4 linked regions of the Saccharomyces cerevisiae S288C genome follow. Changing the gene in region 1 together with any one later gene gives a genetic interaction. Each region holds a gene or a part of one and is shown in the gene's direction. Other genes may lie near its edges. The genes, in order: NEJ1, YLL006W-A, WTM1 and CLB1.

Region 1 (4,531 bases):
CCACCTCTCGAAGAGACAGAAAAATCAATTAGAGCCACTAAATTGTACAACCAATATTGAGAGTCTGTTTCCACCACAGTGAACTCAAATATCCTTTGGATAAGCTCAGTAGGCAAATACGTTAAAGCGGCAACCATCCTTTTCACTTCTACCCGGAGAATATATAACTTTCGAAATCACAGCCTATATATTGCACAAATTTCACGTAGAGCTCTAGCTGTGAAGATAGAATCATCAACTTTAAATTTGCTTAAATCTATTTATACAAGAAATGATCAACTGAATAAAATAACGAGCGGCTGAAAATTAAGGGTTCTTTCGTGTGTGGAGTTACAGTCCGTTGCAACGCCTTTCCAACATGCACACAAAACCAACAGTGGCTTATTCGCCAGAGGGTACAACAATGACTCAGAAATCATGAAGAGGCATTAACAGCGGTCAGCAGTGGAGCAATAACAACAGGGTCATTACTTCTTTACTACTTGTACTTAGAATACATCACGACAAGGTGCAATGCGGCGCCTTTCCGCGTTGACAAACTCTTGAAAAGCCCATGACAGGTGGAAAACACGTGGTTGGTACGGGACGAATAAGAAAGAGGCAAACGGCACTTAGTTTGTTGGGATGGATGGATCCCATTTTCCTATGAAATCTACTACCGGAGAGCCCGTTTCAAGTGGTAAGAAGGGCAAGAGGAGGAAGGTCATCAAGTCATGTGCATTTTGTAGAAAAAGAAAACTGAAATGCAGTCAGGCCAGGCCTATGTGTCAGCAATGTGTAATTAGAAAACTACCGCAATGCGTTTACACAGAAGAGTTCAACTATCCCTTGTCTAATACGGAACTGTTCGAGCAAGTGCCCAATGTAGCGTTGGTTCAGAAGATTGAGAATTTGCAGACTCTACTGAAGGAAAACGATAACAATAATGCGAAACCGGTGTATTGCAGGAGTTCAGAAAATCCATTACGGTCACTGAGAACTTCGGTTTTAGGTGATAATGGCTCGAGGTATGTGTTTGGCCCCACTTCCTGGAAAACTTTATCTTTGTTTGAACAAAATAAGTTTCAAACTGAGTTTCAAAATTTATGGAAAGTCTTGAAACCACTTCCTGAATGCACTAAATCGCAATTAAATGAAAATGATGTTGTAGCAGATTTGCCTAGTTTTCCTCAAATGGAAAGCTGTATTAAATCTTTTTTTGCTGGACCGCTGTTCGGCATATTGCATATCTTCAACCAAGACGATATTCTGTCCCTCTTGGACAGACTTTTTATTAGAGATACCACGGACAAGAACCTAGTCATCCTCCTCGATTTGCAAGGTAATGCAAAAGATAAGTATAATCTTGGCATTGTACTTCAAATTCTTTGCTTGGGCTATTATAACCAAGATATCCCTTCTTCCGTGAGTCATTTCCTTCACACTTTAAGTGCAGCGTCCTTGTCATCATCGAGCTCAAATTTCGTGGAAAAACTACAATTTTTCTTATTGTCCTATATTAGTGTAATGATAAATTGCACGGACGGTGTATGGGATGCGACTCAAGGCGTTGACTTAATCAACGAGCTATGCCAGGGGTGCATAAGTTTGGGTTTAAATGATATTGATAAATGGTATTTGAACGAAAGTGAGGAAACCAAACAAAACTTGAGGTGTATTTGGTTTTGGGCTTTATTCCTTGATGTATCCACCTCATATGATATAGGTAATCCTCCGTCTATTTCAGATGATCTTTTGGACTTAAGTATATTTACTGCGCAGAATTTCCAATCACCGAGTATTGACTTTAGGAGAGTTAAGCTAATGCACGATTTTTTAGATGTTTCCCGATTCACTACTCGTGAAATTCACAAGAGAGAGATGAACGAAAAATTGACCACTTTTTCATTGAGATTGATTGAATTTATACAATCTAACTTTTCACCTATCGAACATTATACAAATTCAGTTTACTACTCTGATATTGATCCCTTTGATATATTGATTTTATCAAGATCTCTAAGTATAGTTGCTAGTATATACAATATTGAGATGATCATCGCTCAACAAAGCAGAATCATAGATAAGAACAGAATGGTTCAGTTCTTGTTGATATCCATATCAGTCTGTGTTAATACAATGGTATTTCATTTTAAAGAGCCTATCAACGACCAGGAGAACGTGTTAACTGAAGGGCTAAAACTGTCTATTATTCTAATCAATCCACTTTTAATACGAATAGTATCGCAAGTGTACAGTTTAGCATTTAATAGGTTAATCTTCAGGGAGAAGGCATTCCTTTTCCTTATTGACCTTGACACTGGGAAAAAAATACAATTCATTAAATATGAAGAAGAAAACTTTGATGAACTTTTGACAGGATTCGATGTTAGGACTGATAAATTTCTGTCATTTTCAGGAACAATAATAAGATTTTACGAAATTATTGATAGCATATTTGCTGTTAATGAAAGAAATAAGCGATTGTTAAAAGCAGTTTCCAATTTTTATCAGTTAACTTCAACTTTGGCGTTTGAACGCGTAAGTAGGGTTTTATTCGATAAAGCGTCCCAAGCAAGAATAGAGACTGAAAAAATTTGGCTGAAAAAGGGCATTAATATGGAGCACTTCAGTGATCTCATGATTGAAGATTTTATTAATGATGTTTGGAAAACGTTCAAAGAGATTTCCAAAGACCTTTGGTCCATTGACAAAAAGAAATTTTATAAACAATATCATTTCGATTTATAAATGTATTTATGATTGATGTATTTTTTTACATGGATTTTTTCGTCCCAAAAAGGGATGATAGTGTTGGCAGCGGGCAAACACAAAATAGTGTCATATAAGTGGAAACCCTATGGAGAATAACCATAACAACGGCCAGATAGGAGGTTAATCTTACACATGTGTGATGGATTCTGAGTTGAAAGGGCAGCAGCTAAGTGATGCAGAATGGTGTGTTAAAAAAATTAATGGTGAGGGAAATTGTCTCCTATTATTTCTACCGATGTCATCTCCAACCACAATTGTAATGATTGTTTTAGTTTCCTTGGAGCGCTTAGTTCCCTACGTTTTCAAACTTTCACAAACTCAATTATCACAGCAATGCCAGAGCCAAGGTTTTACGGATAGTATATCATTAAATCTAATTAAACTAAAACTAATGGACATTCTACAAGCTCCTCAAGAAATTAACCAAATTGGATTGGTAGATTCAAATTTGGTTTTTAGTTTCGATGTATCTGCGGATATTACAGTTTCCATAAATAGCGTACCTTCACATGTTACTAAGGATATGTTCTATATGATTTTGCAAAGTTTATGCATGCTTTTATTAAAATTGGTAAACCTTTCCACCCAATACCACTATGTACAACGGGATATTTTGAATGAAAAGCAAAAATGCTTAGATTTTCTTTTAATTTCTCTTCGTGATTTAGACGGTGGGAGTAAAGTTATCAGTCAATGGGCTCCTGAAAATTCTAAGAATTATGAATCTCTGCAGCAATGCACAGACGATGACATAATCAAAAAATTACTACATAAAGGAAAATTCCAGCATCAAGAATTTCTGGCGGACTCATTAAAAACATTATTATCTTTAAGAAACAAATTTCAAGATGTGTCGCGGTTTGAAGAATCTGGAGAACTTAACAAAAAAGAGCGCGTCAGATTTCCTGCGGTGAATCATTTTTATAATGATGATTTTGAATTGCAAGCAGACCCTACAAATGAGGCTCGACCAAATAGCCGCGGTAAAATTAAACCAAAGACAGATTTCAAGCCAAAATCTAGAGAAAGTAGTACCAGTTCGCAACTTCGCCTGGAGAATTTTTCTGAATCTGAGGCTACACCAGAAAAAACAAAATCAAGTTCTTCTTTGGTCGAAGAATACCCACAGAAAAAAAGAAAATTTGGAAAGGTGAGAATAAAAAACTAAGGCAAGTCAATTAAACGTCAAAAATTAAGGTTGGACCTTTCAAATAGTTCTATTCCTTTGTTGACGCATTGATAATGTTAATTTATTGAATGGTAACGTTATGCCATTGATAGGGAGCATATAAGTTTATATGTATTAGGACAGTTCTAATTGTTTATTATTAATCTAACGGTAGTTTCAAGCAGTATCTTACATCACTGCAGCTTCTGAGTGTCTAAATGATAAACTGCATAAAAAATAGCCGCGCAAGCTCGCCATCACTGTAAATGAAATTTAGACGCAAAACATAACCGCGGATGTAAACTTACTTAATAAGAGCGATTGGCAAAAGAGCCACAAAAAAAAATTGGATCAATATCTGGTGCATGGGTCTAAAAAAATTAAGCAAAACCACAACACCACGCGTTATGACAGCAGTTTTAGAGACTGTTTCTTTCTCTTCTATTGTATGAAGTAATCAGATTATTATATTGAGTAAGTACATGAATGTAATATTTAAATTGTATTTAACGATAGATGCACCAAAAAAAAAGAAAGTTACAGTAAGAGACTTCTTGTCGATTCGTTATTCCATGCCATACAGGTTAGCCTCAAATTAATTAATTCTTA
Region 2 (3,237 bases), 540 kb from region 1:
CCAAAGTATTAGGTGCTTTATCAAGGAACAAGAAAGTCACTAACAGCAAAAAGAGAAAGCGTGAAGAAGCTAAGGCAGATGGCAATGGTGCACGTTCTTATAGAAAAACCAAAACCGACCGTATTGCAGATCAAGAAAGAACTTTTAAAAAGCAGAAGAGTACAAATTCAAATAAGAAGAAGGGCTTCAAAAGCCGTAGGTAATAATTTTCATCGTCATTATCATAAAATATCAACATACTTATCACTGTCATTATATTATTAATACTTTGTATTTAAATATCATTAATTCATCTAATAAACAGGGGATTAGTCAAAAATTCCTTTTTTTTTGTTGAATCTGTAGAAGTGAGTATTAATAAACTGCAAGCTATATGCTATATTAAAAGGATTTTTCAAGTACAAACGAACTGAATGGAGACTCAAGCTACTTGCGGGAAAGAATTACAAAATTACATTCCATTCTAGTAAAAAAAAGTTATAAATAAAAAAAAATCGTCTGACGACAAATTTGTATCTTAATCAAAATAAAAATTTTGGGTTACTTTCTTTAACGTTTCCAAGTTATAAAATTCTTCATCTTCGTCCTCGTCGCTTGGTTCAGGTGGAGGCACTATGATGTCCTGACGAACGTTCAAATTTATCATCTGAACATTTTTCCTCAAATCAAATAAAGTGTCTATTTGTTCTTTCGTGTCTTCTGATATATCTTCATGCTGGAATGGAGATATCAATTTCAATCCGTCTAGCCATATATATCTTCCCTCTTCTGTGTCTAAATAAAATTTCAAAACTGTCCTGTCGTTACGATCTTTTAATTCAACTCCAGTGTACACATTGGCTTCATCTAATTTGATGTAAACATTACTGCTCGTCCGACGACTCGGTGTAGTAAGTTCTATGCTTTTGAAAGAGGTTATATGTTTCAAAACAACAACTTTTGTTCTGCCATTAGCTAATGCCTCAGAACCTGGACTTGTTAAAATTTTATTGTCGAATAGATAAGGTAAATCGTTTGTTTGTGTTTCGAATTCTCTGGCTAATAAATTTGCGTGGTTATCTGAAACTATGAGGAAGTAGACTTTAGGCGTGCCAGCTTCAGGATTCAGTGGGTTCTCTGCGTAAACCCACGTTCCCTTTTGCAATTGAAGAAGTCTTTGATGACGAACGTAATCACGAACCTGGCCTGATAGCATGGTATCGAAGCTAGCGATACTAGATGACCAGGTTCGATACTGTTCTTTTTTGATTGAGTCTAATTGTAATGTTCTTGCAAATTTATATCTCATAGAGTCAAGTGCAACAACTTGGGTCTTGAGAAGGGATTTCGTCTGTATTGCTGCTTCCAAATCACTGGATGACAAACAAACATATTTTAAAGTGATAATAGCTAAATTTAACAGTGAAACCAAATCACTTTGCGATTTTGCTAATGATTCTATCCAAAATCTCAAAAACAACTCGAGTGTTTTGTAAAAACATGTTTGTCGATTGAGAACAGCGGTAGCAATTTGTAATTTTAAATCACGCTCTGAGTCTGAGTATTGGTTCTCTTTTTTCCCACTTAGATTGAAAAGTCTTCTAAATTGGTCTGAAAGTTTAAATATTGCTTCATAAAGAGGGAAATCGTTCTCGCCAAACAACAATTGTTCAGTGTAAAGTCTCTTGAAAGACCCATTAGGACTGTTTAAGAATGTGAATGTATCATACGCATTTAATAAATTTATACTGGGAAGATCGCCCATTTCCATTTCTAACCCTTTTTGGAATACGGAGTTATCTTTGATGGCTGTAAGAAGATCAGCTTTAAGCGAACAGGAATAATCATCAATACTAACCGAAGATAGAAAATTTATTAGCCTCTGCTTTAACGGTACAAATTCTTCAAGGATTAGTGGTTGCAAGTCTTCTATGTAAAGTAATTCAGACATGGAAGCTGGAAAGTTATACTGAAATAGCAAAATGAGGATTCTGGGTACAAATTCTACGGCGTGTGATAGTGATGTCTCACATAATGTAAGTGAGCATTTTAAAAATAGGGTTATGCATAGTATAGTGTCCGTAAACAACGGTATATGAATAGGTCTTTGGGACAAAAGTTGTAAAAGTATTCCAATGAGCTGAGAGTTCTCTCTGGAGATGTGGCAGATGCTCACAATAACTTCATTCTTATTAGAATCTTGGCATTTAAGGGCTACATTAAAAATCCTAATGAGATTTGCTACCAACGTTTCTGACCTTAGCTTTTGGCAATTATCACACAATATAGCCCAAAATCGGGAATCTGGAATTACGGTTTTACATAGGTATTTTTCATCACAAAGGAGGATATAGTTTGCCAATAACTTTTCGTATTCATCACTTGTCTTGTTCAAATTTTTATTACTGATCAGCGTATGATAGCAAGCTTTTGATTGTGCACTCGTAAGTGACTTGACTGGCTTTCCTAATTTAGGATTCAGTAGCACTTTTATGTTTTCCAAGCTTTCATCTGGCATCTGCCTGTTATGCTTCATTGCTTATGCCGTTATTTGAGGTTACTTTAATCTATTTTCCTACTGATGACACAATTGAGTCAATCCAACGTGGAACGGGTTGCCCTTGTATACATTTCAGTTTACTTCTTTTCATGTATTTCCTTAATAGTTTATTTTTTCACTTTCTGCCTATCCGTTTCAATTCCGAAGAACCGTCAACATCCAATAAAGATCATCTACAACAATAAGTGCCCCTCATAATTTTCTCAATGAGATGAAAGAACTTTGAGAGAGTCAATATAATACCTGTAGCCTTTTTCTGAAAATGACTGATAGTGAGAATGAATCCACCGAAACGGATTCGTTAATGACGTTTGACGATTATATAAGCAAAGAGCTACCTGAACATTTACAGAGACTAATCATGGAGAATTTGAAGGGTTCTACTACTAATGACTTAAAGCAAACTTCAAACAACTCAGAGTTTAATGTCAGTAAAAACGGGAGCTTCAAAGGTCTCGATGATGCAATTCAAGCTTTGCAAATGCAAAGCGTGTTGCATCCTTCTTCGTTAGGATCGTTAGCAACGTCCTCCAAATTTTCTGGATGGTCGTTTGCTCAAGGGTTTTTTGTAGGACAGCTAAGCATAGTGTTGTTGTTCATCTTTTTCCTAAAGTTCTTTATATTCAGTGATGAGCCATCTAAAAGTAAGAATCCGAAACCTGCAGCCTCCCGTCACAGATCAAAATTTAAAGAATATC
Region 3 (4,715 bases), on another chromosome or scaffold:
GATATTTACGAAATAGACACTACTTTACCATTAAAGACATTCTATGACGACGACGACGACGACGACAACGACGACGACGACGAAGAAGGTAACGGCAAGACGAAGTCTGCAGCCACCCCAAATCCAGAGTATGGTGATGCTTTCCAAGATGTTGAGGGGAAACCATTGCGCCCAAAGTGGATTTACCAGGGCGAAACAGTGGCAAAAATGCAATACTTGGAAAGCTCAGACGACAGTACGGCGATCGCGATGTCCAAGAACGGCTCTTTGGCATGGTTCAGAGATGAGATCAAGGTTCCCGTTCATATCGTACAGGAAATGATGGGCCCTGCTACTAGATACTCTAGTATTCACTCTCTAACCAGACCAGGTTCATTAGCAGTGTCAGATTTTGATGTGTCGACAAATATGGATACGGTAGTAAAGTCACAAAGTAACGGCTACGAGGAGGACAGCATCTTGAAAATCATCGACAACTCCGATAGACCGGGAGATATATTACGTACAGTGCACGTTCCAGGGACCAACGTGGCTCACTCAGTTAGATTTTTTAACAACCATTTATTTGCATCTTGTTCAGATGACAACATTTTAAGATTCTGGGACACAAGAACAGCGGACAAACCGCTTTGGACGCTAAGCGAACCGAAAAATGGACGACTAACGTCCTTCGATTCCTCTCAAGTTACTGAAAACCTATTTGTCACTGGGTTCAGCACGGGTGTCATCAAGCTATGGGATGCGCGTGCTGTGCAACTGGCTACTACTGACCTCACACATAGGCAGAACGGCGAGGAACCGATCCAAAACGAAATAGCCAAGTTGTTCCATTCTGGCGGCGATTCCGTTGTCGATATCCTGTTCTCACAAACCTCTGCAACAGAATTTGTTACGGTTGGAGGAACGGGTAATGTCTACCACTGGGACATGGAGTACTCTTTTTCAAGAAACGACGATGACAACGAAGACGAAGTTCGAGTGGCTGCTCCGGAGGAACTTCAGGGTCAATGTTTAAAATTTTTCCACACAGGTGGCACAAGAAGATCGAGCAACCAATTCGGGAAGAGGAACACTGTGGCGCTACACCCCGTAATCAATGATTTTGTTGGCACTGTTGATTCAGATAGTCTTGTTACTGCCTACAAACCATTTCTGGCCAGTGACTTCATTGGCAGAGGTTACGACGATTAAAAAAAAAAAAGAGTAAGAAATTAACGTTACCACCTATGGGAAAGGCAGTAACTCACAAGCATTCACGTACATAATTCTGTTTTTTTTTTTTTTATTCATTTCTAGCACGCTATCGGGGTTATTTTTTTTTTTGTAATATATAGTGATGGTATAATGTTGTATAGATACTGGTATCGCTCCTAATAAAGACTCTTTCAGATTTCTGAAGCCAACGAAGTAAGGCCTCAAGAAAAGAGGGTTACCAGTAATTAACCAAGCAATTTCTTTTTTTTCTTTCCAGCAAAGAAATAAGACAAAAACCGGCTATATGGAGAAGAGGGAGGATCTAATGGTGACATAGTCCATTTCAAGATTCCCTCTTTCGTTTCTCGGATGAAGCTCGATGTTTACAATTCAGAATCTTAAAAGGCTGTCGCTAAGAAAGACCCAGAGGCACATGCAAGATAGTTGTGCCTGTACCACGTGAGAAGGCGGTATTCAATATGCGGTGCTGTGCTGGCTTCCCTTTTTGGAACGCGCCGGGGTATAACAAAGAAAGGCTAAGTCATACAATAGGCAAAAGACCTTTGTCTTTCCTTTTTTTCCTCTTTCCTAACATACGGTGGTTTATGTACTATCCCTTATGTAATTGCTTAGCTATACACAGTGAGCACACATAGTGGCGCTCACTACTCCCTTTTAATTTCAACTCGTAGATAGTTGGGCTATTTTCCTTCGAATCCTCGTTTATCATCTCATATTTAAGAGTACCATTTCGGGGCTTTTTTTTACCTTTTCCTTTTCCATGCAGTCTGTCCCCTTAATGTTCTATGTTTTTTTTTTTTTTTTTTCAGTTCTGTAGCTTCCAGTATAAAGGGAGGGAAAAAAGAAGATCCGAAAAGTTTATATTCGCCTGAATTGTAGATATTAGATAAGAAAATTAATTATTAATCAACCAATCTTGAAAGATACAAATAAATTGTAACACACTATACATTACAACCAAAAATGCCAAAAAAGGTTTGGAAATCATCTACGCCTTCCACTTATGAACATATCTCCAGCTTAAGACCAAAATTTGTGTCTCGTGTGGACAATGTTCTGCACCAAAGGAAGTCCTTGACGTTCAGCAACGTTGTTGTTCCAGATAAAAAAAATAACACTCTAACCTCAAGTGTTATATACTCTCAAGGTAGTGATATCTACGAAATTGACTTCGCTGTACCACTACAAGAAGCCGCTTCAGAACCGGTGAAAGACTATGGTGACGCCTTTGAAGGTATTGAAAACACCTCGTTGAGCCCAAAATTCGTGTACCAGGGTGAAACTGTCTCCAAAATGGCCTACTTAGATAAGACTGGAGAAACTACATTATTGTCGATGTCTAAGAACGGGTCGTTGGCTTGGTTCAAAGAGGGTATAAAGGTCCCTATTCACATTGTACAGGAATTGATGGGTCCAGCAACCAGCTATGCCAGCATCCATTCTTTAACCAGACCTGGTGATCTACCTGAAAAGGATTTCTCATTAGCCATCTCTGACTTCGGCATTTCCAATGATACCGAAACCATTGTGAAGTCTCAGAGTAATGGTGATGAAGAAGACAGTATTTTGAAAATCATTGACAATGCCGGTAAGCCTGGTGAGATTCTACGTACTGTTCATGTGCCTGGTACCACTGTGACTCACACCGTAAGATTTTTCGACAATCATATCTTTGCGTCTTGTTCAGATGACAATATTCTGAGGTTCTGGGACACTAGAACTTCCGACAAGCCTATATGGGTGTTGGGAGAACCAAAGAACGGAAAATTGACCTCGTTTGATTGCTCTCAGGTTTCCAACAACTTGTTTGTTACCGGTTTCAGTACGGGTATTATCAAGTTATGGGATGCCAGAGCGGCTGAAGCTGCCACCACTGATTTGACTTATAGACAAAACGGTGAAGATCCAATTCAGAATGAAATCGCTAACTTCTATCATGCCGGCGGTGATTCTGTTGTCGACGTCCAATTTTCTGCCACTTCAAGCTCTGAATTCTTTACTGTGGGCGGCACTGGTAATATTTACCACTGGAACACTGACTATTCCTTGTCAAAGTACAATCCTGACGATACCATTGCTCCTCCTCAAGATGCCACTGAAGAATCACAAACAAAATCTCTGAGATTCTTGCACAAGGGTGGAAGCAGAAGATCTCCAAAACAGATTGGAAGAAGAAACACCGCCGCTTGGCATCCAGTTATTGAAAACTTGGTTGGTACTGTCGATGACGATAGTTTAGTCAGCATCTACAAGCCCTATACCGAGGAAAGCGAATAGTCGCCATGCTAAACGCGCGGAACAAGGCCATATTTATATATTTAATGCTTTTAACTATTATTAGTTTTTCTCACCCAGGGCTGGTTTCTTTACCCTGTGTGATGAAAGTGCGCGCCTAAAGTTATGTATGAGCTACTGTTAGTATATTTATTATTCAATATTTAATTAAACAATACTTACTACTGATGAAAGATACCGTACACCTGCTGGCGAATAAGTCACTATACACGAGCAATTATATTTCTCAGGTCATTGCGACAATTGAAAAATCGGATCGACTGATTATCATTAAGGCGTGTGACGGCTCAGAATAAGGAAGTTCTATTTTAAAGGGCAGCAAAAATTTGGCACAATTTAAAAAGAAAGTTGGTCTCTGGTAGGGTTGGATCCGGTTTTTCATAACTTGCGTTTCATTTATGGTTGCGTATTTCTCGCAGTGTACATAGACCAAATTAACTCTATCCTTCCATTGCACAATTTGCCCAGTATGGCTTCACTGTTCAGACCCCCAGAATCTGCGAAATGCAACCCAAACTCTCCTAGACTTAAACTGCCCCTCTTACGAAATAATCAGGTAGATGAAAATAATATATACTTGACGTCGAATGGGAGTTCCACCACAGCTTACAGTAGCCACACCCCAGAACCACTGACCTCTTCCACATCGACACTTTTCTCCCAAACTCGACTTCATCCTAGCGACTCTTCAATGACTTTAAATACAATGAAGAAGAGGCCTGCACCGCCATCTTTACCTTCGCTCAGCATAAATTCACAGTCTAAGTGCAAAACACTACCCGAACTCGTACCCATCGCCGATGTGTCTGATGGTAAACATGATTTAGGATTGAAACAGCGTGTGATAGCCGAAAATGAGTTGTCTGGTAATAGTGACTTAACCCCTTCATCGATGGCAAGCCCCTTTTCACATACAAACACCTCTTCTCCCTACCTCAGAAATGATCTGAGCAATTCAGTGGGATCTGACTTTTCAAATTTGATATCGGCATATGAACAAAGTTCAAGTCCCATCAAGTCATCGTCCCAGCCTAAATCATCTTCTGAATCGTACATAGACTTAAACAGTGTACGAGATGTTGATCAATTGGATGAAAATGGTTGGAAATATGCAAATTTAAAAGATAGGATCGAGACATTAGGCATTCTAGGAGAAGGAGCCGGTGGCTCTGTTTCCAAGTGTAAATTGAAAAATGGATCAAAAA
Region 4 (4,488 bases), on another chromosome or scaffold:
TTCCGAAATTCTATTTATATCATTGCTATTAGCTTTATGTATATTGGCAATTGAAGCGGTTCTTCTTCATGACATAATAGTCCATCAACTGTTCGTGCAATTGATACAAATTAATTTTGAAGGCAATATTTAAGTTTGGTTTTCTTACGCAGAATACTTTTTAAAGTATCAACTTTCGTGCATCAGCTTCTGTCAGGTTCAATGATTGTTTAATTCTGGTCTTCAGGTCATATAATTTCACACCATTTTTTATCATCGCTTCTTGAAAATTCGATGTAAGGTAAATAATAGCTTCAGTTTGTTGCATGAGTAATATGCGGAAGATAACTGATTGTTATTTTAGCAGAAATCAATCAAGATGAAAATATCCACTACTTCGAAAATACGTAGCAAGCCAAGTTCAATCGGTAATCTATAGGTTCGGCAAGAGACTTTGCAATGCTAATGTTTACATTTCCTTGCCACAGTTCTCGTTGGAAACAAGCCTAATGTTAACGTATTTTCACCCGCATTAAACTACAATTGTTTTGGACGTAAGAATTTACAGCGCAATTGTTCTTTTCTATTTTATCATTACGATTGTTCCAAGAGCTTCTTGCGTTATTTACCATATATTCTTGATCTATGAATGATAATAAACAAGAGTAAATGAATGTTTTATATGTTCATAATGACAACAACTGGGGGGGAAATGAAAATATTTATCTTCTATTCATAGTAAAAATAATCTTAAAATTGAAACTAACGCTGAAAACTGCAACAGTTACGGCATTTTTTATTGATGCGTAAAAGCATTGTCTTTGTCAATTTTTGAACTATCGAATTGCTCCATAATATCATTCATGGTGTTATCCAATTATTTAGTAAGCTTCGCTTGTACTCAGTCATTTTTTTTTTTTGCATCCAATTTTATTGAAAGTCCGCCCGCTCTGTTAAAAAAGGCGTTTCTTCCAAATTTGAATAGGACACGATCGAGATTCCCTCCGATTAATTATGTGCTACTGGCTCCTCTTTCGTCGTATTGCAAGTGGACTTTTCAACGAGGCTATGCATGCCCAGTGTCATTCTTGAAGCAGGCACACACAGACGCGCTTCAATTAGTTTTCTTTACTAGATGCATCATTTGGGCGGTTTTTCACTACCGTTTTCGAGTAGGGGCTCTCACAAAACGGGCACGACCTTTTGTTTACAACCGCCCAAAGAGGAAAAACATCAACAATCAAGAAGCGGACACAAAATATAGAAGCACCATAAAACTCACGTCAACGGTAACTTTAAATTTGTTGTATTAATTAATCATTTTCAACTTGCATTTTTACAGCATCATTTATGGGTATCCTGCAAGTTAGGTGCGGAACGTACATAACATATTACTTCAATTTGCGTTCCGCATACGGTCTGCCCAATTTGTTTTGTTTGTGATTTCCTCATTCGTCTTCCTCTGCAGAAACGGGTTTGATCCTTCTTTTATGAATACGGCGTGTAGTTATATATATTAAGTAATAGAAGTTATTGCACTTCTGTGTAAGAAGAAGATACTAGGGTGATCTATTCTAGGCAATTTTGGTTGTATTGTGTTTTTTACATTCGGCCAAACTTGAGCAGGCTGCAATTTTAGTGTCTTCGGTTTTTCCAGCGACAGTTTTACTTGTGGCTCTTGGTATAGTTTCTTAAAACTATTAAAGTTGCTAACTGGTGCAGCTGTTTAGATCACAAAAGCGTAATTAAGAATAAGATCTACCAACAAGAACAGAGCCAAAATATTTTCGTCCGTTATATCAACCATCAAAGGAAGCTTTAATCTTCTCATAATGTCACGATCCCTTTTGGTAGAGAATAGTAGAACCATTAATAGTAATGAAGAGAAGGGGGTAAACGAAAGTCAATATATCTTACAAAAGAGAAACGTCCCAAGGACCATTCTCGGTAATGTCACAAATAATGCAAATATCCTGCAAGAGATTTCTATGAACAGAAAAATTGGGATGAAGAACTTCTCAAAATTGAACAACTTCTTTCCTTTAAAGGATGATGTTTCGAGAGCCGATGACTTCACCTCCTCTTTTAATGACAGTAGACAGGGGGTGAAACAAGAAGTACTAAACAATAAGGAAAATATTCCTGAATATGGATATTCCGAGCAAGAAAAGCAGCAGTGCTCAAATGATGACTCTTTTCATACGAATTCGACTGCCTTGAGCTGTAATCGGTTGATATACTCTGAGAACAAGTCTATTTCCACTCAAATGGAATGGCAGAAAAAAATAATGAGAGAAGATTCCAAAAAAAAAAGGCCAATATCAACTCTTGTAGAGCAGGATGACCAGAAAAAGTTCAAACTCCATGAATTGACTACAGAAGAAGAGGTTCTGGAGGAGTACGAATGGGATGACCTAGATGAAGAAGATTGTGATGATCCCTTAATGGTGAGCGAAGAGGTTAATGATATCTTCGATTATTTGCATCACTTGGAAATAATCACATTGCCAAATAAGGCGAATCTCTATAAGCATAAAAATATTAAGCAAAACAGAGACATTTTGGTGAACTGGATAATCAAGATTCATAATAAGTTTGGCCTTCTGCCGGAAACTCTATATTTGGCCATAAACATAATGGATAGATTTCTTTGTGAAGAGGTGGTTCAGTTAAATAGATTGCAACTGGTTGGTACATCATGCCTGTTCATCGCATCTAAGTATGAGGAAATATACTCCCCTAGCATAAAACATTTTGCGTACGAGACAGACGGTGCATGCTCTGTGGAAGATATTAAAGAGGGTGAAAGATTTATATTGGAAAAACTCGATTTTCAAATTAGTTTCGCTAACCCAATGAATTTCTTAAGGAGAATATCAAAAGCGGATGACTATGATATCCAGTCTAGGACGTTAGCGAAGTTCCTAATGGAAATATCTATAGTGGACTTCAAGTTCATCGGGATATTACCGTCATTATGTGCCTCAGCGGCAATGTTCCTTTCGAGAAAAATGCTGGGCAAGGGCACCTGGGATGGCAACTTAATCCATTATAGTGGTGGTTACACAAAGGCAAAACTATATCCCGTTTGCCAATTACTGATGGATTATCTTGTTGGATCTACTATTCACGACGAGTTCTTGAAAAAATATCAATCGAGAAGATTTTTAAAGGCTTCCATAATTTCTATCGAATGGGCATTGAAGGTAAGGAAAAATGGATATGATATTATGACATTGCATGAGTGAAGGTGCTAGCCTACACAGAAAACCAAAATCTCACTTCCTTACTTTATCATCTATTTTATAGAAAAATCAGGCATTCATTATTCATATAACGGTTATCTCATATATATTATCACACGGTATCAGTTTTGTAGGCTGTAATAATTAATTCATTTATAAATTTTTTCTCCCATAATTGGAAAATTATCTTTAAAGTGAGGAATAATGCATTTTCTTTCTTTTTTTGAATACATAAAAGAAATAAAGAAGTATGTCTATCGATGATATTTAAGATGCAGGGGGTTAGCTGGCTATAATTTTGATCTATGTTTCAACGTTTTTGTTTACACCAGTCAAAAACCTTGAAATAAACCATGCCATGTTTAGGCTTTTTGTATTTAAGTCTCAAGGAATCTAGATTCGTATCAGGTACAGCAATATCTTCAACTAGTTCACTGATAAAATCCTTAAACGCTGGATCTGATTCAATATCAATGCCGCCACTATAATGAATAAAAGTTTCATCCCATTTGGAATTTTCATTTTTAATTTTTCTGGCGATATACATGGACATTGCAGCTAAATATGATGGCTTCAGGTGGATGAATTTATTACAACAAATCGAATATTCCATGATGAATTTGGCCATGTTCCTTGTTTCAATGCAGTAATTGTCAGCTTTTGAAATTCTCCTAATGAAATTTAGGGGGTTTGGTAGAGATATGTTATAACCTAAAGAACTTAGAACGAATAGCTCAGCCTTCCTAATTCCTTCGACAGTGGCAGCACCGTCAGTCACGTACGCAAAATTTGTTATTTTTGGTAATTTAACTTCTTCAAATTTACAGGCAATGAACAGGCAAGTGATGCATAGTAGTTGTAATTTATTCAATTTAACAACATTTTGTGATAAAAATCGATCTAGCAGGTTGATCGCTAAAAATAATGTTTCAGGTAAGCAGTGAAATTTCTCATGAACTTCAACCAACCAGTCAATTAACAGCGCCCTCATGGAGCTTTTCAAATGATAGGGAGATTGCGTGTCCATTAAATAGTTATGTGTCGGTAGCATTTGGATTTCCTTCTCGTAAAGATGAGAAAATATAGAATCTGTATATTCTGCTACCATGAATGGATCATCCATCTCTATCGAATCCAAATTTTTCCATTGATGACATTTTATTTTTTTCACAGTTTTTGGCTCTATAGGATCGGTTGAATCATTTGATAATTGTCTCTTTCTTGTTTTTTCCAAATGGGTGGAATCTCTTTGCAATTTACCTCG

What was found.
Region 2: mutations in NEJ1 (region 1) and YLL006W-A together harm fitness more than expected from each alone (negative genetic interaction), as found in Saccharomyces cerevisiae (one large-scale study listed by BioGRID).
Region 3: mutations in NEJ1 (region 1) and WTM1 together harm fitness more than expected from each alone (negative genetic interaction), as found in Saccharomyces cerevisiae (one large-scale study listed by BioGRID).
Region 4: mutations in NEJ1 (region 1) and CLB1 together harm fitness more than expected from each alone (negative genetic interaction), as found in Saccharomyces cerevisiae (one large-scale study listed by BioGRID).

Annotation. Positions count from the first base shown.
Region 1 is NC_001144.5:673,818-678,348, reverse strand, and holds NEJ1 (Nej1p), read left to right. Parts: upstream 1-2,893; coding exon 2,894-3,922; downstream 3,923-4,531. Other genes in the region: BOP2 (Bop2p), read right to left, coding at 1-137; PDR8 (Pdr8p), read left to right, coding at 625-2,730; YLR264C-A (uncharacterized protein), read left to right, coding at 4,405-4,521. UniProt on the Saccharomyces cerevisiae protein: Involved in non-homologous end joining (NHEJ). Facilitates the transport of LIF1 into the nucleus, where it can interact with DNA ligase DNL4 to repair double-strand breaks (DSB). Mediates mating-type regulation of NHEJ.
Region 2 is NC_001144.5:133,785-137,021, forward strand, and holds YLL006W-A (uncharacterized protein), read left to right. Parts: upstream 1-2,560; coding exon 2,561-2,737; downstream 2,738-3,237. Other genes in the region: DRS1 (putative ATP-dependent RNA helicase), read left to right, coding at 1-203; LMO1 (Lmo1p), read right to left, coding at 518-2,515; ERMES complex subunit MMM1, read left to right, coding at 2,802-3,237.
Region 3 is NC_001147.6:768,622-773,336, forward strand, and holds WTM1 (transcriptional modulator), read left to right. Parts: upstream 1-2,178; coding exon 2,179-3,492; downstream 3,493-4,715. Other genes in the region: WTM2 (transcriptional modulator), read left to right, coding at 1-1,191; mitogen-activated protein kinase kinase MKK1, read left to right, coding at 3,980-4,715. UniProt on the Saccharomyces cerevisiae protein: Transcriptional modulator with roles in meiotic regulation and silencing.
Region 4 is NC_001139.9:701,825-706,312, forward strand, and holds CLB1 (B-type cyclin CLB1), read left to right. Parts: upstream 1-1,811; coding exon 1,812-3,227; downstream 3,228-4,488. Other genes in the region: B-type cyclin CLB6, read right to left, coding at 3,535-4,488. UniProt on the Saccharomyces cerevisiae protein: Essential for the control of the cell cycle at the G2/M (mitosis) transition. Interacts with the CDC2 protein kinase to form MPF. G2/M cyclins accumulate steadily during G2 and are abruptly destroyed at mitosis.